Linked DNA regions of Astyanax mexicanus. Each later gene encodes a partner of the first gene's protein in a complex. Links are inferred from orthologs where the notes say so. Each region holds a gene or a part of one and is shown in the gene's direction. Other genes may lie near its edges. The genes, in order: pth1r and pth1b.

Evidence for each region.
Region 2: the proteins of pth1r (region 1) and pth1b are in contact, whole or in part, in a cryo-EM structure (PDB 9JR3), measured with the Homo sapiens proteins. The link is inferred for Astyanax mexicanus from reciprocal best matches to the Homo sapiens genes PTH1R and PTH. Residues at the interface, in NP_000307.1 of Homo sapiens: Val31, Met32, Thr33, Lys34, Glu35, Gln37, Ile38, Leu41, Glu111, Trp112, Asp113, His114, Ile115, Ile135, Tyr136, Asp137, Phe138, Arg146, Arg162, Thr163, Ala165, Tyr167, Val171, Leu174, Thr175, Glu177, Glu180, Arg181, Phe184, Leu187; in NP_000306.1 of Homo sapiens: Ser32, Val33, Ser34, Glu35, Ile36, Gln37, Leu38, Met39, His40, Asn41, Leu42, Gly43, Lys44, His45, Leu46, Asn47, Glu50, Arg51, Val52, Glu53, Trp54, Leu55, Arg56, Lys58, Leu59, Asp61, Val62, His63, Asn64, Phe65.

Annotation. Positions count from the first base shown.
Region 1 is NC_064415.1:3,569,050-3,580,189, forward strand, and holds the start of pth1r (parathyroid hormone/parathyroid hormone-related peptide receptor), read left to right. Parts: upstream 1-6,614; 5' UTR 6,615-8,018; coding exon 8,019-8,093; intron 8,094-11,140.
Region 2 is NC_064423.1:35,370,732-35,380,945, reverse strand, and holds pth1b (parathyroid hormone 1b), read left to right. Parts: upstream 1-6,515; 5' UTR 6,516-6,572; coding exon 6,573-6,652; intron 6,653-7,337; coding exon 7,338-7,539; 3' UTR 7,540-7,969; downstream 7,970-10,214. UniProt on the Homo sapiens protein: Parathyroid hormone elevates calcium level by dissolving the salts in bone and preventing their renal excretion. Acts by binding to its receptor, PTH1R, activating G protein-coupled receptor signaling.

The DNA of each region.
Region 1 (11,140 bases):
CACTTCTGTCTCCAGTTACAAATTAACGATTAGTCGACGATTAAATTTGTAGTCGGCAAATTTTAATAATCGACATTGTCGATTATATCGACTAATCGTTGCAGCCCTAATTAACACTAGCAGAGGCAAGAAATGTAAATTTGCATGGGGATCTCGGTTCCATTCTCTATAATAATGTCTATAGAAATTATTATATTGTCGCTGTCTAGTGAAACACAACTATCTCCACAAAAAAAAAACATCAACTTTACAGTAGAGAGGAAATACCTTCTAAATTTTCAATGGAAGTCAATGTAAAAAAAAATAAATCAGGTAATTTCTATTAATCCGTTCATCAAGAAATTTCTGGCACTGTTTAAATTATGTAGTAAACTAAAAATTGACAAAATGTGACGAAAAATGAGATGTTTTTATTGTTTTTATTGGACAGCGACGAAATATACATAACATCCTGTGCAACAGAGGATCTCTTGCTCTTTCCCGGGGGCGGTCCAGATGAGTGCCAGTTTCATCTTAAAGTTTTTGATGGTCTTTGTGGTGACTGCACTTGAGGATCCTTTGCACTTGCTTCTCATAATCTGGATTAGAACATTATTATTATGCTATAGTGCACTAAAGTGTTCTTGTAGCCACATTATTATTAATCAGTATATTTAAAGAGTGATAAAATGGAACAACTTTTTTTATTATTTATTAAACTTTAATTTTATAAAAATAGTACGAAAGTCTTACTTAAAATGTTAAGTGAACTTAACTGTACTAAAATGGAGCTATTTTAAATATACTTTTAAAAGTAACATTTAAACATTTAACCTACTTCATGTATGTAACCCCATATATTTTAAATATGCTTACAGTAAAACTATAATATATTTAATAATGGGTTTTACAACTGTATCACTATTTATTATACACCAGTTACATTAGAAATGTACTAAGAATTGATGTTAAATATATGTAATCTATTTACATTAGAGTACAAATATGCTTCAAATATGTTCCTGTTTTTTGTAAGAAGCACACTTCTAAATATAAAGTATAAAAATATATTTTAATATACTGTACTACAATTTCTTGTGTGTTACAAATTTACTTATTTTTTTTTTAATTAGTAGTAGTAATTTAATTAGCTTTCTAAAGAAGTTACATGATACATTGTACTTGTAAGTGAACTACTGTAACAGCTGTTTTTAACACACTTTGCTAAAAATGTACAAAAGTATATTTGGAAATAAATATTTGAGAAGTATACTGAATTACATTAAACTAAAAGTGTGTATACTTTTAAACATTTGATGAAAGCTTAATATTAATGTACTTTTAATTTAATATACATTTCATATATTTTAAGTAAGTACATAAATCTGCTTCTCGATATATTTTAAGTATATAATTAAGTTTTATTAAGTTTTTACCAGGGAGCTGATGCTCTCAAACACTTTATTAAGAGGCAAGAAATTCAAGTAATTAACTCTTGATGAGTTCAGCACAGCTGTTAACTGAAAGCCTGAATTCCAGGTGACTCTACCTCCAAACTTCCAGTAGAGGTGCTAGACCTCCTTTGGCTTACTTCCAAAGTTTCAGTTCCTCTGGATGCTAAATTAAGGGCTTTTTAATAGAGAGTTTTTTACCCCTTTGCTGCATAACAGCCTCTACTCATCTGGGAGATCTTCACACTCGAACATTTCTGTCAGGATTTAATTGCATTCAGCCACTAGAGCTTAAGCTGTGTCAGGTTCTGATGGTGGGAGATTAGTTTTGTCACTTCAACTCATTCCCAAGGTATTGGATGGAGCCCCATCAGCCCAATGTCTGAGGGTTTTTTTTACCCCTCTAGCCCGTGCTTTACGCTGGGCGTGGCCACCACAAACTTTTCACCAGAGCTTTAAAGCATCCTGTTCAATTATCCAGGCTAATTGCTAAGTGACAGCAACAGGTATTCCTCAAAACTGCTGAATTGACTGTAGGGTGGAGTCAGATATAATGAGCCAAAAATGTACAATAGTTTTATAATTTTGAGAGTTAGAGTATCATCAGTTCTGATCCCTTCTGATCTACAATACAGTGTTGTCCCCACCCTCAGATCAATCAAAACTATTGCTACAATGCGAAAGTACTTATTGTGATTGGCTTTAAAAATGATGAAAAAAACTATAAAGAACTATAAACCTGTAATCTTATCTGGCCCATTTTATATTATGGTTGATTACAGGGCTCTATTTCAGTGATCTATAGGCGAGCTGTTAATTACACAACATGTAGCTTGATTTGGGTTTGGGATTCAGTGTGTCTTTGCTATCATAACGTCGAGAAAAGTACACCTTTTGGACACGACTCCAAATGCTCAAAAGGCATGTACTAATGCTCTTAATTATTTATGGATGTGTGAAAAAAACAGCATAATCAGAGTGTCACTTGTTCATTAAACCCCCTTTAAGAGTCAGGTAAGCTCTGACTTTGGCGGATTGCTATTTTGACAGTGCAAGAAATGTAAAGACTTAAGAGTTGCTTTAATAAATATTACTCTCAAAAATGTAAAAAAGTATAATTGTTTTATCAGTACGTTCTCTTCTGATCTATAACAAAATGTGCAGGTAAGATGGGCCAGTAAAATTGCTATGTTGTCCTCAGACCAATCAAAACTACTGCTACAATGTAAAAGTACTTATTGTGATTGGCTGTAAAAATGTAAAGAACTATAAACCTATAATCTTATCTGGCCCATTTTACATTTTGGTTGACTACAGGGCCCTATATTAATGATCTATAGGTGAGGTGTTAATTATGCACCATGCAGCTTGACTTGGGTTTGGGAGTCAGTGTTTCTTTGCTATCATAACGTTGAGAAAAGTACACTTTTTGGGCATGACTCGAAACGTTCAAAAGGCATGTACTAATTCTCTTAATTTTGATCATGACGTGAAACTAACTAATCAGTGTGTCTCTTGCTCATCATTCTCTTTAAGAGTCAGGTGAGCTCTGACTTTGGCAGATTGCTATTTTAACGGTGCAGCTACCTGGACGTGTCCAACAAACTCTTCTTAACAGAGGAAAATGAGCTGCTCGAACAGATCTATCTATCTATCTATCTATCTATCTATCTATCTATCTATCTATCTATCTATCTATCTATCTATCTATCTATCTATCTATCTATCTATCGACCTATCTATCTAAAATGTTGCATGTAAACACTGTTCATTATAGTACAAAACAACAGCTATCAGTGAAACTAAAATGAAAATGGAACCACCTGATAAACCATAGAGATCAGTGGTAATCACTTGAGCTGTGCACCACTCTACATGTGGTATTAGCTAATTAACCAAAGCTGATAATTGACTGTTAGAACAGAGATTAATCACACGATTAGGAGCTGAATATATTAGGAAATTATCATTTCTCAGTTTGTAAAGGACAAGATAGTAAACTGAATCCTCAAGTTCATTGTTTTTGACTACAATAGCATGCTCTCCTCAGTGTTGTGCACTATTATAATGTGCACAGTCTTGTTGGTATAGGATGTTTGTGTGTTTATGCATCCTCTCAGTGTTTAACACCACCTCCAGCTCTCAGTAAGATCCTGCAGCTGCTGGAACAGCAGCATTACAGGCTCAGCGTCCGCCTGAAGCTCTCCAAACCCAGGCATGGAGGCCTGAGGATGTGCTGGATTCAGCTTCCTAAACTCTCCTGCATAATAGGAGAAGTTTAGAGTCAACTGTGAACCTTGAGATTTCCCACCACTTTCCCCAAGAAGTAGATTGGTGGCTAACAAGCTCATCCAAAAATGAAAACGCAGAGTTGGCATGCTGGTAATTGGACTCAACCAGAGACTGTAAAAAAGATGGATGCCGTGTGGCCCCATTTCCATTCATTCAATGAAAATGAAGCCAAAATCTTCCGCCATGTTGGCGATCCTGAAACCCGAGTCTGTAGAGCGCAGTAGAGACCAGAGGAGGGAGAAAGACTGTGGAGAGACAGCCTACTCATTTAAATAACCCCGCCCCTGAGGGCTGCCTCCACAGAGCTCACACAGTCTATGGTCCCGCCCATACAGTCATTGGTCCCACCCCTGCTAGGTGTAAACCAGCCCTTTTACACACCAATAACCACACCTTTTTGAACAGAGCTGAAAAACGTTTTAAAATACGAATTCTGTGTAGATATAAAAATGTAACAATATAAGCAGAGGTTACACTAGCTGCTGCATTTAAATAATGGAGGTAGAATTACAGTATATTGGGGAAAAAAACGTGATTGAAAGTTGTTCTGTTTTGCCATTGAAACCTATGGGGATGGGTGGGGTTACGCAGCTTTCTGCAACCGAACAGCAGGGGGCGCCCGACCTGTGGTGGCTTCACTTTTGAGAGACGATGCTCTGTCCAGCTATACACAGTCTATGGACTCAACCAAATTCGCTATGGCCAATAGTCAATCTTTAAGTCCTTCCACTGAACGTTTTTTGGCCCCAAATGCACCCGTGCTAACCGTGCATGCTTAGAACCACTCAGTCCTGGCTAAAGAGTTCACCAGGACCAGCTTCAGTGTGCTAAAAGTTCCAGGTGTAAGACACACCCTTTCCAAAGCTTATGGAGCGTTTAGACACTGTTAAATGTCCAAAATGCTAAAACTCAAACTGAATACATTTTTTTCCAACATAATCAACATCCTCAGAAAATGGTTTCTCTCAGCAGAATTGCAAATTGTTTCTTGTAACCCATAACTAGCGTTCTGTCATCGCTCTCAAAAAGCAAACAGACCCAGCCCGGCGTAACGAGTCCCTGCAGGAGAGTTTTGGCCGCTGGTCGTTTTCCAGCATGTTTGGTCGGTTGTATCATGATGAAACCGGCTGCGATTGACGTCGGAAAACAGATTTGACGGCATCAGATCCGGTCAACACATAAAACTGAACCAACAGACCCAAAAATCTGCACCCGACTTCCAGCGACCCACTGTTGAAACTGGCAGAACATGCAAGTGTAAATGAAATTATTGCACAAATTATTACACATTTGCATGAGCGCTCATTATTTTTTTCAGCTCGGGTATGAATGAAGAGCTGCCGCGATTCGGAGAACCAGGAAAAACAAATATGGCGCGTGGAGAAAAAGTGTGTTAAACTGGTGAAACTGGCCATTAGAAGTGGACCTCAGAGATTTGCACCGCAAGTGAAGATGTGTAGGTAAACACGGCGGCGCTGAATGAGTTATTTCATGAGCGCACGTGAAAAACGCCAGCGTAAATGTGCCCCAGCATTGTATTTACATAATTTTATTGGTTGCGTGGCATGGTGTCGCTGCGCGCTGCTGAGAATGGAGCGTTTTGCCAACATAAAGCCGGTCGGCTCTGAATGGGCAGATTGTGCTGGAGTGTTGTGCTGGTATTGGGTGGAATGGATGGATTTTTTTACTTTTCCCACCTGTTTTCAGGCAGAAACTGTTCAAAATGTCAATTATTTTTCCCAAAGCTAAAGAAATTTACTTTAAGTTTTTTGAAAAATTATCTAATTTAATTATCTAGAATGTACATTCATAAAAAAATTATCAGATAGTATTTTACCTAATAGCAACAATGCAGTTTTAGTTAATAATATTGTATGTTTAAAACCTCTCCTGTTGATTCACATTTAAAATAAATCAAATAAGTAAATAAAAACATTGAAAAAAATATCTCTCATTTCCCATCTTTCCCAAAGCTTAGAAAATTCATAAATTCATTTTAAATTGCTAAATGAAATATATCCATACAGTCATATCTTATAATTTCTTTCTGTATATATACAGTGGAGTGAAAAAGTATTTGGACCCTTACAGATTTCTTATATTTTTGCATTTTTGTTATACTTCATTTTTTTATACTATCAAACAAACTTTTATATCTAACGTTAATAACCTGAGTAAATATAAAAAGCCCTTTTTAAAATTATAATTTTATTTATTAAAGGAAACAAACTATCCAAACCAATTGAGCCCATTGTGAAAAAAGTGTTTAACCCCCTTATAAATTAACTGTGAATTATTACACTTTTTGGAAAGCTTTTTTTTTTTTTTTATTGTTTATTGTGTAATTCCATATGTGTGCCTTAATTGTTTTCATGTCTTTAATATTAATATACATTGTAGAAAATACATTAAATAAAGAAATAAAGAAAAACACTAAATAAGAAGATGTGTCCAGACTTTTGACTGGTTCTGTATTTATGTGATTAAATCTGTAATTATAGTTATAGAACTACAGTGTGTGGTATATATGATCAGTTGAGTTAGAAACAAGGTGATAGGTGGTCATAATATTATAATTATAAGTTTTGAAGCTTTGTTAATATTAGTTTGTTTGGTTTTAATCTGCACTGCATGTTTCTGAAGATGTGAATTGAACAGTCTTTTGGCTGCTCGGGCAGGCCACGCCCAGCTTTTCGACTCTAGCACTTTGATTGGTTAGTAGTGTCCAGGCTGCTGTACTGTGATTGGCTGGAGGGGTCCCACCTCTTGCGCTGACGAGGGTGGTCTAGTAGCCAATCGCTGAGGGGATGGGGGCGTGGCCTGGCGGAAAGCGGGTGGGAAATGGAGAGAGGCAAGGCTGAGCGGAGGAATCCCTGACGCCTCCGGATCCTTCCCCCTGCAGATGCCCAGCCTTCCCCTGGAGGTGGTGCTACAGCCGCCTGGAGCAGCGTGCGTGCGGTGGTGGAGTTGCTGGAGGAGGAGGAGGAGTGGAGCACTTTTTTTTGGGACACTTTTCTTTTTTGAAACGCTGCGGAAAAAAAAAACTTCCAGCGAAAGAAATGACAGACTGTGGAAAGGAGCGCTTGGCTTGTTTTTCTTGGGTTTGCCTTGGGTTCAGCGTGGAACTGTGTCTTGTACGAAAGCTTGGATGAAGTCCTGGGACGTGGGACGTTCTTCTAGCAACCTGAAAAAGCTTGTGAGGGAACTCCTCCGTACGTACGGCGTCTTCGTGCAACGTGGTTTCACCTGGTTTGGGGTTTTTGAAGGAGCGCGAGCGGCGCCGCAGCTCTGGACTTGAGCGATTGACTAATTGAGCGATTGAGCGGTTGACCGGTAAAGTGGATCAAGTGGATCAGTGGATGGAGCAAGTTCTGGACGCTCGTTTTTGGACACGGCTCGTGCTGCTGGCTTTGCGTGGACTGAACGGTGCGTGGAAGAAGTTGGACAGTGGTTCTGTTGGTCCAGTTTGAGCGTGGGTTCACTTTTCTGTACTGCACTTTAGGATCCGGAGGTTCTGTTTGATGTGTGTTGGAAGCGGGACATTGGGGAAATTGGGGGTTTGGAGCGAAACGAGCAGGGACGGGGCTTTGTAGATGATGATCGTGATGATGTGATTCTTCTTATTTGTATTTCTTCTCTCTCTCTTTTTCCCTTTCTCTCTCTTTCATTCATTCATTCATTCATTCACATATATATTAATATTCTCCACGTCTCTCTTTCTGTTTCGCTCTCTCTCTTTTTCTCTCTTTTTCTCCTCTGTAGGAAGGGAGGGAGTGTGGGGGTGCTCTGGTGGGAGGTGGGAGGGTAATTTAAAAGGACCTAAAAATAAAAGCCTGGGTTTTTTTGGCTCCACAAAGAAGATCATTTTGAACTTCCTACCGCAGAAGCTGAAGGACGTAAATAGTTCTGACATGTGGATGTAATTTCAAGGAAGGGGGGAGTAGTGGGTGAGAGAGCGAGAGAGAAAGAGAGTGAGAGAGAGAAAGAGGCACTCTCACACTGAAGAGAAAGAGAGAGAGCAGAGTAGACTGTAGAAGAGTGGCTGAATCAAAGCGCCATCATCCATCTATCCATCCTCCATCTATCTCAAAGCTCTCATCTCATCTCCTTGGTTTCTTCTCGCACGTGGAGGAGGAGGAGCAGTAGTGAAATGCATGGTGAGGGGCTTCTTTGGAGGAGCTGAAGAAGACCTCCACCTTTATCCAAGCCTCGATCAACCAGAGAGATCAACTTCTCCTGTCCTCGTGCTCTTCTCTCCGCGTAAAAGTGAAGTTGTGGAGCGCCCTGAGTGTCCGGATGGGTTCCGCGCTCGTGGGCCACGGCGTGGGCTTCCTGCTCGTCAGCTCGCTGCTCAGCTTCATGTGCACGCTGGTAAGTGTCTTTAAATCTTTATTATCTATGCGCTGATTCCACCACGCATTTCCACGTTTGCATCAGGTTGTGCACGCGAGTTTGTTGGCGCTCGTGCGTAAAAAGCGCGCGGGGATGCATCTGGTCTTTGGGGGTGCTCTGATCAGGATGCTCCGGGTCTCTGCTGTACATTTAAGATCCAGAGAGCTGAACCCAGTGGTCTCGCGCGCTGTACTCAGGTGTACGTTTTTTGGTGTTTTGGTGGCTTTATCTCCTCGTGCGTGAAGCTGAAGCTGGAGATGGTGTGTGGTCCTAATGATGTGGCTGAAGTATCCTGTATTCTACACTAATGCAGCTCCTCTACTATATACTCTACTATACTCTACACTACATTCACTATACTAAACAAACACAACAGATTAACCCTCAGTTAGTGGCTATAAAATTTATAATAAACTTTAGTTTAAGTAAAAACAGAATCTAATCAGACTTTAGCTTGTTTTATAAGTAAATTGAGGTGAAAACCTTTTTTTATATTTCTGGCAGATCATTCAACTAATTTAGCTGAGTATTTTTTTTAATCCAGTAAAAGTATCTGTATTGTTTCTTAAAATAAGTATTTTTCATTTAAAATCAAATAATTAAGCATGATTATTTCTCAAAACAATGTTCTTGATAGTTGTTTCCTGGAACATCTGTCAAGAACATTGTTTTGAAAAATGGTCATATTGATTTAAAATTAAAAACACTTATTTCAAGAATCAATACAGAAACAATACAGAGAATTTTTCAGAAATTATCTATTTCTGTTGGCATTCTAGAAATATTTCTGCAATATTTCTTAAAATATGAAAATTATAGCATTTCTTGAAAACTGTTGGTGTCATTTCTTAACACAAAAAATAAACTAATAAACCATATAATTCCTTAAATCTGTACATTTGTATGTGCTAAATCCTAAAAAGAGTAAATATATCTGCACTATTTCTTGAACCATATAAAATGTTTTAAATAATAATGCAAAATGAGAAATAAAAAATTAAGATTTTTTTATTTTATTTCTTAAGAAAATGTTGTTTAATTTCTTGAAACAAACAAAAACTTCAATCTAATTTCTTAAATCTGTAATTCTTTTTGTTCTAGTTCCTAAAATTAGTAAATTTATCTGCGCTATTTTATGAAACATATTATAACAAATAATCTGTTAACATTTAACATGTTTTGTGTGATTTTTAATCAACACCAAATGATCTGCATTATTTCTAACCTACTTTTGTAATGTTTTAAAACAAGTTTAGTAACCTGTGTAATTTCATTACAAGCTTATTTAATGAAATATTGACAATGGTGTTCACTTTGTGTAACTTAGTCATCTACATTACTTCCTAAAATACGCAACATTTATCATGCAAATTCCTGTAAAATGCAGGAATCATAATAAAAATATATATTTGTGAATTATCTGTATTATTTCTTAAAGCTAGTAGATTTGTCCTTATTGGCTCTTAAAATGTTTATACATTTATTTGCATTATATGTTAAACATACAAAGTGAGCTTCATTACCTGTAGAAAAATACAGTTTTGAACAATTTTTGGAAAAACAAACTATCACCATTACTATGTGAAATGCAAAGATTTTCAGTGTAATTATATTTAAACATACAAAAATGTATTTGCTCCATCTAAAATTTCTAAAATTTCCATTTTTTTAATGCAAAAAACGAAATGAACTGATAAAAGTCTCATTTTGTGAAGCGTGCACAATTACAGTCATTATTTAGTGAAATTTGTGAATTGAGTCTGCTAATCGAATAAAGCTATTTTTCTGAATAGAAATAGAAATGTAGAGAAATAGAGAGATTAGATTGTGTAAATCAACTAAATTTGAATTGATTTCACGTGCTGGGAGATTTTTTTTATGCAGTCTATGAATAAAAAACTCTATTTGTGAGAATTTGAGGGCATGTTTACTGATCAGAATTGTATCCTGAGGTTTAGCTTAATTTCTACTGGCTATTTTTCCACTTTTCTGCATCAATACATTAAACCCGTATTTACATTTTTGATATTTGTTCATATTGTGTTAATTTTTGATACGGTGTGTGATGTCATTAGAATGTATATTGTGGATGTATATCAGTGTTTATAAAGGATACATTTGATGTACATTTGCTGTAATTGCTGTGTTTAACTAGGTTTAGTATGTATAAAATTAATCTGTACTATGCGTGCGATAGAATTCAAATTTTTTTCTGATATTTTAGCATACATTTTTATTTTTGTTGATATCAGATTTATTGTTTCAGCTCCACTAATGTTATGCTTGAAGCACTCAGAGTGGTCCAGCGGTCTAAAGCTCTGCCACTATGATCTAAAGATTGCCGGTTCGAATCCCGGTCATGCAGCTTGTCAACAGCTGCTAGAGCCCCAAGAGTGCACAGTTATTGGTTTTGCTCTCTCTGGGTGGGTAGATGGCACCCCTCATCACTCCTAGGGTGATGTGGATCAGCACAAAGCTGCGTCTGTGAGCTGATGTATCAGAACCGAGTCACTGCGCTTTTCCCTGAGCATTAGCGTTAAGTTTCTAAAATTAGTACATTTATCTGCACTATTTTGTGAAACTTATTAAATAATCTGTTTTAAAATCTAACATTTTTGTGGGAATTTTAAACAAAGCAAAATGATCTGCATTATTTCTTAAACAAGTATATAAATATATACAATCTGTGTAATGCTTTGAAACAAGCTAAAAGCATTATTTCATGAAATTCTAGCATTGTTTGTAGAAATGTTGAAAACAGTGTTCACATTGTGTTGCTTTTAAAGTTATCCGCACTATTTCCTACGATATGCAGCGGTCATGTATGTAGCTTGCTATCAGCTGCCAGAGCCCTGAGAGAGCACAATTGGTCTTGCTCTCTCTGGGTGGGTACAGTACAGTAGACGGCGCTCTCTCTTCCCCCTCGTCACTCCTAGGGTGATGTGGATCAGCACAAGGCTGCGTCTGTGAGCTGATGTATCAGAACCGAGTCGCTGCGCTTTCCTCCGAGCGTTAACGCTGTAATG
Region 2 (10,214 bases), on another chromosome or scaffold:
GCCTTATTTAATGTTAATTACACTCAGGCCTAACCTCAGAGACCAAAAGGCAATGTTTGGCTTTATATAATAATTTCAATGAAACCATTTCCCCTTATATGAAGCAGCCAAATGTATCCAAACCTATAAAACGATCATATTTTCTTTAGAAAAAAGGAACAAATACATTTTCTTTCTCACTCCCACATACAGACTCTATTGTTTTCTAATCATTTAGTAAAAATGTGTTCTCATTATAACAGTACAGCGTAACTTTAGATGTCAGAGCTTCTACATTAAGATAAATGTCTTCATTTAAACTGAATCGAATTTTCTGAACCGAATCAATTATCAAAATGTATCACTCTGCTGCCCTCTAGTGGAGTTACTAAATACACTACAGGTATATTTCCTGCAAAGTGAATTTTACATTATTTAGGCCTTTTAAAAAGGATGGAAATATATTCAGTTTGAACTCTTATTGGTGTAGCACAGCACAGTCACCCAGAGCTGGAATTGAAGAATTGTCATTGAGGAACTGAGGCAAAAGAATTCTGTTTTCAATATCACATGTTTAACAATATCACAACAGCTAATTTTAAAGTGGTAGTCGGTATTATTTATTTTCTAAGCTGAAAGCAGAAGCATTTCTGAATGGAGAAGAATATGGATAAAATATAGTGTTTAATGGTACAAGTGTACTGAACATACCGACCATCCCTGCTAAGTCCAATATATTCATTCTAAAAAGTGGGGTGTCGGGTCACTTTTAGCGAGAGTTCTTCTTCTGTCTTTACATACTTATGTCACATGTACAGCCTCCAAAAGAGGATCCGACTCAGTTTTACTGAATGCGAGTGGCTGGTGGAGCAATGGAGACTTCAGAAGGGGAAACTCCGACCTCAGTAGCTCATTCACACAGGTACCAGACATGGTACAGGTTTGGATCTGGAGTTGCTTTACATGTACAACTCATCCCTAATTAACAAACTCATTCTTAACTCCCTAACTTATTCCTAACTCATCTGTAACTCATCCCTAACTTACCAACTTAAAATCATCCCCAAATCACTCCTAAATGCTTAACTAATCGAAAACTCATCCCCAAATTCTTAACTAATGCCCAACTCATATTCAGTTCCCTTATTCTTTCACAACTCATATGCAGCTCACCAACTCATCCACAACACATCTCCACCTCCCTATCCCAGCTCCCTTATATTTCCCAAACTACCTAACTCACCCCCAGCTTCCAAACTCATCCACAACTCATCCCCACCTCCCTCACTCATACTCAGCTCCCTAATTCCCTAACTCATCCCTAGCTCCTCAACTCATTCCTAACTCTGCAACTAATCCACAACTGTTCTACTCTTCCCTAACTCCCCAACACATCCCCACCTCCCTAACCGATACCCAACTCCCCAACTCATCCACAACTCATCCCCACCTCCCTAACTCATCTAACACTCATCCCTAAATTTCTAACTCATCTCCAACTTTGCAACGTATCCCTAGCTCCCCAACTCATCCCCAATTTCCTAACTCATACCCAGCTCCCCAACTCATCCACAACTCATCCCCAGCTCCTCAACACATCCACAATTTCCTCACTTATACCTAGCTCCTCAACTCATTCACAACTTATTCCTAGCTTCCTAATTCATCCACAACTGATCCCTAGCTTCCTTATTAATCCCTAACTTATCCACCACTCCCCACCTCATCCCTGACCCCAATGCTATTCAGTGAACAGTTCTTCTCTACAGGGGATATATAAGTTGTGTGTGTGTGCATTTGGACAAGTCTGTCAACAATAGGTACAACTTAAAACAGCTGAATTCATACATTAAAAGGCGTGTCCGTAAACAGCTGAAAAATACTGTTGCCCTGACTGTAGGTTTACATGCAGCACTGACTCAGATTTATACTTTCAGGCCTTTAGGGAGCTGCAGTACAATCTGTTTAATCTCCACTCATGCAATATTAATGCATCGCAGAGAACTGCTGAAGTGTGTGGGAGGCTGATTCTCACATGTGCATTCTTTAAATTCCTGCACATAAAAATAGTTCTTTTGCTGATATTAAAAGCACACACTTGCTTATTCAAAAGAAGAAGTTATAAATAGACTAATTTTCTATATTTCTGCTTCATCGTTATATAATTAGAGGGAGACCTGTGTGGTTTTAATGCAGCGTAGCTAGCATTGCAGCACGGTGGGTTGACCCCCAGTTAATGGTTTGTAAGCAATTCTTCACCTTAATCCCTGCCAAGTGCCTGTGCACACTGCTGCAGCGACATGCCATTAGTGGGATGACAGGCATTGTACCCTCATGAGGTAATGAGAACAGCTCTGGCCGGGTCGACTCCACGTGTGCCGCAGGCCGCGATGCACAGTGCAGTTCTCTGTTGCAAGGACAGCTTTGGGCACGAGGACGGAGCTGTTTACATGTGAAATCTGAATTCCATATTAAAGCTCCAGAGTTCAGTAGCAGGGCAAAGGGTAAATGCTTCATTCCTCATTTTAAAAGAAAGCTAAAGTAAGATTTATTATCCTGTGAAATGTCCTGCCTTGGCAATGAAATAATCTTAAAACATTCTTACAATACATTACGAAATTGTAAATATTTAAGATTATTCAACACATTTCCAGACATTTATTAAATAAATAAAAAACTTGTTTTAAGCAGAGTAAGCTCTTTAATAAAATGACTCAAAATAAATATAAAATACATGTACAATAAAAAAGGCATTAAAAAACACATATAAACTACAAAAGTGCATTTCATAAAGGATATGTAGCTTAATAGAGTTCCACCATTGAAAGTAATTGTAAAAAAAGCAGCTATGGTGGTTGTTGTAAAGTGGTTGGATTGGTATCTCATGTGGTTCGTTGGCTGTTACTTGTGTATTTCTTGTGTACATCATGGTTACTTGGTGATTTAGGATTTTAATAGAATATTGGCTATTTTAATTTGCTAAAACTCAGCATTATGAGACTCGGATCAGATTGCGGTGCAAAATAACCACGTTTTGCATGTCCACGTGTCTTTGCTATCCTATTTTATCATGGGTGTGTTTTGGGTATAATGTGAAATAAACCAATCAGCCGTTCCCTTTATAGGAGAATTCTGAAACTCCGTAGTGTAAACTAATCTTCAGGTGCCGCCATCTTAAAGTAAAGGTAAACAGTCTTTTTTTAATAAGCTTCTTGTGCAGTTTTAAAGTTATTAATGCCTTGTTTTAAATGTCAGGGCTCTCCAGATCTACTAACAAGGTGTGGAGCTACTTTGAGCTGGATAACGGCGTAAAAAGTGATTTATCTGCAGGGGCAAAACATGCCCCATCTAACTCATTCTAAAGCATGTTTGGACAAACTGTAAAAAATTACTGGATCTCAGAAAGCTGCAGGAGAGCAGAGGTGGGCTATTCTACAAAGGTTAGTACTCTTTATCATATTTTACTACATTAAAAGTAAATTTTACACAGGAGTTCTTCTTTAAGAGTCAGGTATGCTCTGACTTTGGCAGATTTCTATTTCAACGGCGCAGCGTTTCTGTGCTTCTCAGCAGAGAATACTGACCTGGTAGTTCACGCTGTTAAGGTGTGCAAGCAGGTCACTTACTGGAACAGCAATGTTTTTATATTTAGTTTTCTGTTTATTGTTGATGTAAATGTCGGGTTTGTGCACTACTGCATGTCCATGTGTGTGTGTAACAAGCGTTGACAAGATAGCAATAAACCTCTGACTGTTGACATCTGTCTAGGTTAATTTCAGTCAGTGGAGCACCTTATAGCAGCAATATGCTAGAACTATGCTATGACCTGAACACACCTCATTTTGAAACTGCTTCACCCAACAGCGTAGATATATTCAGAAGCACCGCTGCTATTTAAATTATGCAGACACAAGTAGGCCTGTCACAATATTTACACTATCGACTTATCGTTCAATAAAAGTCTATTGTGTTTGCACTTACAAATTGCATTTACATATATTGTGACTGTGGCACAGACTGAAGCACAGGGAGACACAGACACAGGAAGTGAATGAACTCAAAACGTACCTTAATTAGGAAAAATGCCCTCCATCAACACCCAAAACAAACTTAAAGGAACATAGTCATGGCCCAGTGCAGCTCTAGTAGCTGAACTTTAGTGTCACTTAGGTTTGTGTTGCCTCAGAAAGGTTATTTATGCTGGTCCAATGCGGGCCAGCTGGGACAGACTGGGGCTGCACGTCACAGTTCAGACACAAGGCATGAAAATAGACTGTTGGCGTGGTGAAACATAGGGCCGTATATGCAGATATTGCAAAAAACCCTAGACAATATTTATCACTGGATATTCCAAGATCATCAAATAATATCCTACTATACTTCTACTTAGTACATTTATTTTTTTATATTTTATTTTTGGCAATTAAATGCATCTTCAAATCAATCCACAGTGTACAACCTTCAAAACGGGATAGCTGTATGTGGTTCGTACTGCTTGTTAAAAGCATAACAGAAAACTATGACCCAAACCATTGCACGGTATATTATATAAACATAATATAACATATTATATAACATAATACACACATCTGATTCTAAGTGTGATATCCAGTATCAGTTAAAGGCCCAGAGCTTGTGTCTTTACTCAGCTATTGTACTCTCATTTTTAGACTTATGACTCAAAATGAACTAAACAAATAATAAAAATAAAAAACATTCAAGCACCACAACGTCATGCTGACCACACATGAGCTAAGCTGCTATTATTACAGCAGGCGAAGGCATCCACAGACACCTACCACAATGCTTCTGCATGACACGCATCACACAAATCAACCTTTGGCCTTTGAGAAAGAGATCCTGAGCATTGTCTGAACGATTCCTGCCTATGCGCTATGCCGTGCCGTCCGTGTGGGCGGAGTCCGCTCGACCTCAATATATAAACTCTCCTTCGCTGATTTAGGAGATCCCTGTTCGAAAAATTAATGGGCAGAAAGGGAACATGCAGTATTGTGAAACGGGAGCCCGGCGGCCCCGCGGCCCGGCCTCCCGACCCGAGCTCAGAGACTTTCATTACTACAGGAGAGATTTGTTGCGCTGCACATCGTTTCGAATTCTTTCTGGGACTTACTACTTGTGTCATGACATAGTCATTCCTCAGCCACATTTAGAAAACTTCTCTCATGGTTACTCAATGTGTCCCTTGTGAGTATGACAAGGTTGTCCACTTCTCATAGCTCACCATAGATCATGCAAAGCACCAGGTAAGGCCTTGTTTTGGCCAGCCGAGGCATTGTGCAAAGAGCAGGAGACGATTTTCTCCATTTGACCTGGATAACTGAGCCTTTACAAATAACGAATAGCCATATACTAAACATTTCTGCCTTTTGGAGGAAATCTGTTATTTTCTTTTATATTGTAAATTATTTATTGATTTTTATTATATGTGCCTTAATGAATTAGGAAATGTACACCTAAATTAAGCACATTTTAGCCTTAAAAAAATATTTTATTTTTTTTTTTTTTAATTTCTGATGAATTTCTGTTTTCTCACAAAAATAATTGGAAAGAAATTCCTAAAATGAAATAAATGATTGCTACATGATTATTGGCTGGAGTAAATTAGTTAAAGTTACAGTAAACAAACAGAAAACAGTTCTTAAAGTGTGGTTATCTATATATATATATATTATATTGTGAATTTATGCATTTTTTAGATAAATAGTAAAGCTTCTAGTAATTATAGTAATATATTTTCTAAATAAATGTTTTCTAAATAAATAATGTCTACATTATGTAGAATTGAAGAATACAAGAGGATCAAATGGAATTGGGCTTCCCTTACTGAGTATTATTATTATTTTTATTGATTTTATACTGCCATGGAATAAAAAAAAACAAATGTATCAAATTTAGCTGGAAATCACAAAATAAATGAAATAAACTACAGATTTTTTGTGTTTCAGTTTTTGGCCACTTTCTGTCATTTGAAATGTACTTTTCTTATCCTAAAGCTCCTAAAAAGTTGCAATAAAAGAAAAAAAAGCTTCACTTGAGTTTCAACTTTAATTTCTCACAGGTAATAATTCAGATCATCCCGCTGGTGGTTTCTCAGAGACGCTCTTCAGGCTTCCAGTAAATGAGACTTCGCACAGCCGTCCGTACATGACATAAGCTCACCAACGCTCTGATCACAAGAAATCAGGGCAGAGGTGTTGAAAACAGAAGTGGTGGGTGGTGGTGGGGTCAGTGGAGGTGTCGCCATCTACATGCCTGTCCTCATCAAAGCACAGGGTGACATCACCATCAAATATCGGGATCGCTCATCAATGGCAGAGGGGAGGGCACTCAGGCATAAAAAGACAGGGACAGTGACCACCAGCACGAACACACCGCTGACCAACACATGGAGTGGCCCTGTAAATTACACCTACAAACTATAAACCACAGCTGTGTAAGTTTTTTTAAACATTTTTTTTATTTCAATTTACAAATGTTTTCTGGAAATTGAAATTTGGACATTTCAAAATGTTCTGCCACTATTGTTTAATAATCTTTATATTCTTTGTTTTACAGCTGATAAAATATCTTCTATGAGCGCCATGCACAAAATGGTTTTACTGGTTTTACTGTGGAGCTTATGTTTGCTTCATTTGGAGGGATCACCAATCAGGTGAGGGCCGAATATGATTCACAATACAATTACATTTAGTTTAACAGTAAATGTAATACACTTAAATTACTAAAAATATAAGAATCTTTGTAATTTTGCAACGTTACTAGTATAATCTTGTATATTTACATTGTACTAAAAATAATGTTATTGTACAATAGAAATGTATTAAATTGGTCAGAAATTGATTGAAATTAACAGTACAGCATTGTAATTATTTTACTGTATTTTATAAGACCTAAAAAATATGAGTAATAACTCTAAAAAAACAAGATCATAATCTAATATATCTACAATAAAATCATTAGTATGTTTATAGTTTAAGACTGCAGTACAATCTTTTACTTGTAACTAAAGTAATATTTTTCTTAAAATTATGTTAAATGACAGTAAAAAAAACTGTCTACAATACTTTGAAACTATTAAAAATATATTAAATAACCTAAGCTACATACAAAAATGTAGTAACTGCAGTAGTAACTGTATACAATATTGTTTAGTTTTCATGCTGCAAGAGTAAAACTGCAAAATACAGTAATATGCTGTAATTTATGAACAAAGAATGCCATATAAAGCATTATAGTGATTGTTAACAGAGTGTATATACCATATATATATATATATATATATATATATTGCTTGTTACTGGTGACAGTAAAAGTGACCACTGCTAATCTGTCCACAGCAAAAGGTCCATCAGTGAAGTCCAGCTCATGCACAATGTTGGAGAACGCAAACAGGTGCTGGAGAGACAGGACTGGCTTCAGGTGAAGCTGAAGTCGATCCTTATCCCCTCCGTCAACGACTCACAGAAAGGACAAAAGGCAAAAATCAGGACTATTGTTACAGATATTTCACTGTCTGGGAAAATCCAGTCTGGATCGTGAGCGAACCCTGAGGCCTCGTCTTCGAGTTCGGTCTTTTGTATGAGACAAAATGAACTTTTAAAGAAAAGAAAGTGTTTTCACTCTAAATGTTTAGTGTCCTCACAGAGATATAGCCCCTGCCCTGTTTCTGTGCAGGCATAAAACTACGGCTCCTTTGCAGAAGTGCACTGAATCACAATTGTTTTTATTTATTTTCATACTTTAATTTATTATTTTAATTTATTTGACTTTCTGACTGTTTGATATATAAATGAATCTGTGTAGAATTATTTGTTAAAATGAACTGGTTAAAAGTTAAAACCAGTTAGGACATGTGAAGGACACGGCTACAGCTACGGCTACGGCTTGTGTTTGTGTGGGTGAATAGAAGTTTACATAACAGTCTCAGTTTGTGTTGCAGCACTGTTATATAGCCTAATTCAGGTGAAAAGTAAGGTTGTTAAAATTCTTATTTATTTATTTATTTATTTATTTTTTATATTCAACAATTAAAGAAAGAATGAAAACAAAATAACCAAACAATATGCTCTGGTTATTTACATGAGATACTGTATGGCAAGGACCCCACTGTGACGAATGTGAAATACCACAATACTGAGAAACAAGGTCCACAACATGAACAACACGGTGCTGTTTTTAAAAAATATATATAAAATAACAGTAAAATAAAGAAAGATTATGTTTACATAAAATATAAAGTGCCAGACATTTCTGGCTGTTGGTTGTTGTACATTTCACTTTCTACAAAATGTATTTACATTTATTTTTAATTTTTATTTTTTCAGCCTAATTCTGACAAAAAATAAAAAAGAGCCAGGCTTCTGGTCAGTGTGTCAAAGTTTGCCAGTTCAGTTTTCCAACTGTCAGAAACTAAAGGCAAAAATAGAAAATTAAGTATAAAATGTCATTAAATCATAGCTTTTATAGTTTGTTTTTTTTTATTTTCCCAATTTGTTAGTTTTTCATACAGTGTTCACCCTTACAATCTGAAATACTGGAACATAGAAAATATGGTTATCTTTTAAAATATGGGTATAAAATATGGGTATCTTTTTTGGCATCTTTCAACACAAAGGTAGGTTGAGTTAAGGTTAAGCTTGGAGGAGAAAATCTGAGATTTATATGAGGGGAAGAGGAAAAAAATTATAATTGGGAAAATGCTATACATATTTTACTGTAGGGAAACCCAGCTAACAGCCTGTAACAGAAATAATGTTCCAGGAACATTCTGAAAACATGGGACATGATGGTTAATGGTTTGCATCACGTTAGATAGTTTCACACATAACATTCCCAAATAGAACTTAACATTATAGAAACGTTAAAAGCTTAAAACATTCCCAAAATTAAAAAACTTAAATGTAGCATGTAACAGAAAAAAAGAAAACATCAGCCACCTGCGCACATATGTTGTAGTCATGTTCTAATCTGGCAGAGTTGTGGAAGAGCATCTTTAGGTCTGATAGTGACTATATCTACATCCACTTCTGGCCTTATTTGGAATAAAACCTGACATTGTATTTCTTACTAAAGACAAAGATTATGATGTTGGCTTCTCCTCCATATAAGCGAGATGCTTAATTCTTTTAAATTGGAAAGTGTCAGCCCCACCCACACATAACAACTAGATTAAGGAAGTAATTGCTTTATATTAAACTAAAAAGATATTCAACTAAATAAATCTGTTTGGAGTCTGTTAAAACTGAAATATTTCTGGAAAATATATTTCATACAGTAAACTGGCCCAGAATAGTATTTTGGCTAAAGGCTTTTTTTGGAATTTTTTGCATTTGATGTAGAAGCGTAAATAAAAAAAACATTTTGGTGCTGATTATTATAATCAAGATATATATATATATATATATATATATATATATATATATATATATATATATACATATATATACATATATATATATATATATATATATATATATATATATATATATATATATATATATATATATACAGCTCTGGAAAAAAGGAGACCAGCTTATAAATCAGTTTCTCTGATTTTACTATTTATAGGTATAATGTTTGTTTTATTCTATAAACTACCAACAACATTTCTCCCAAATTCCAAATAAAAATATTGTCATTTAGAGCATTTATTTGCAGAAAATGAAAAATGGCTGACATAACAAAAAAGATGCAGAGCTTTCAGACATCAAATAATGCAAAGAAAACAAGTTCATATTCATAGAGTTATAAAAGTTCAGAAATCAATATTTGGTGGAATAGCCCTGTTTTTTAATAAGAGTTTTAATGCATCTTGGCATGTTCTCCTCCACCAGTCTTACACACTGCTTCTGGATAACTTTATGCCTTTACTCCAGGTGCAAAAATGCAAGCAGTTCAGCTTGGTTTGATGGCTTGTAATCATGCCTAGACTTTAGAATCTATAATCATTGTTGTTACAGCCAAAATGTAATGTATTAGTTAGAAAAAATCATTGTTTAGTGACAAAAAATATAATACAAAGGAAGTTTTAAGCGCATAATTCTAGACTTCAGAACCTCTACAAGCTCCCTCACAGAAAGTGCTATTACACCAAATAGTTATGAATACACTGCCTGATATCTGAGACACTGATTTATCATAGTTTTGCGAAGATTTTGGGTCTAAAACCTGTAACATATAATGTATAATTAAAATTCATGCAGAATAAAAGCTTC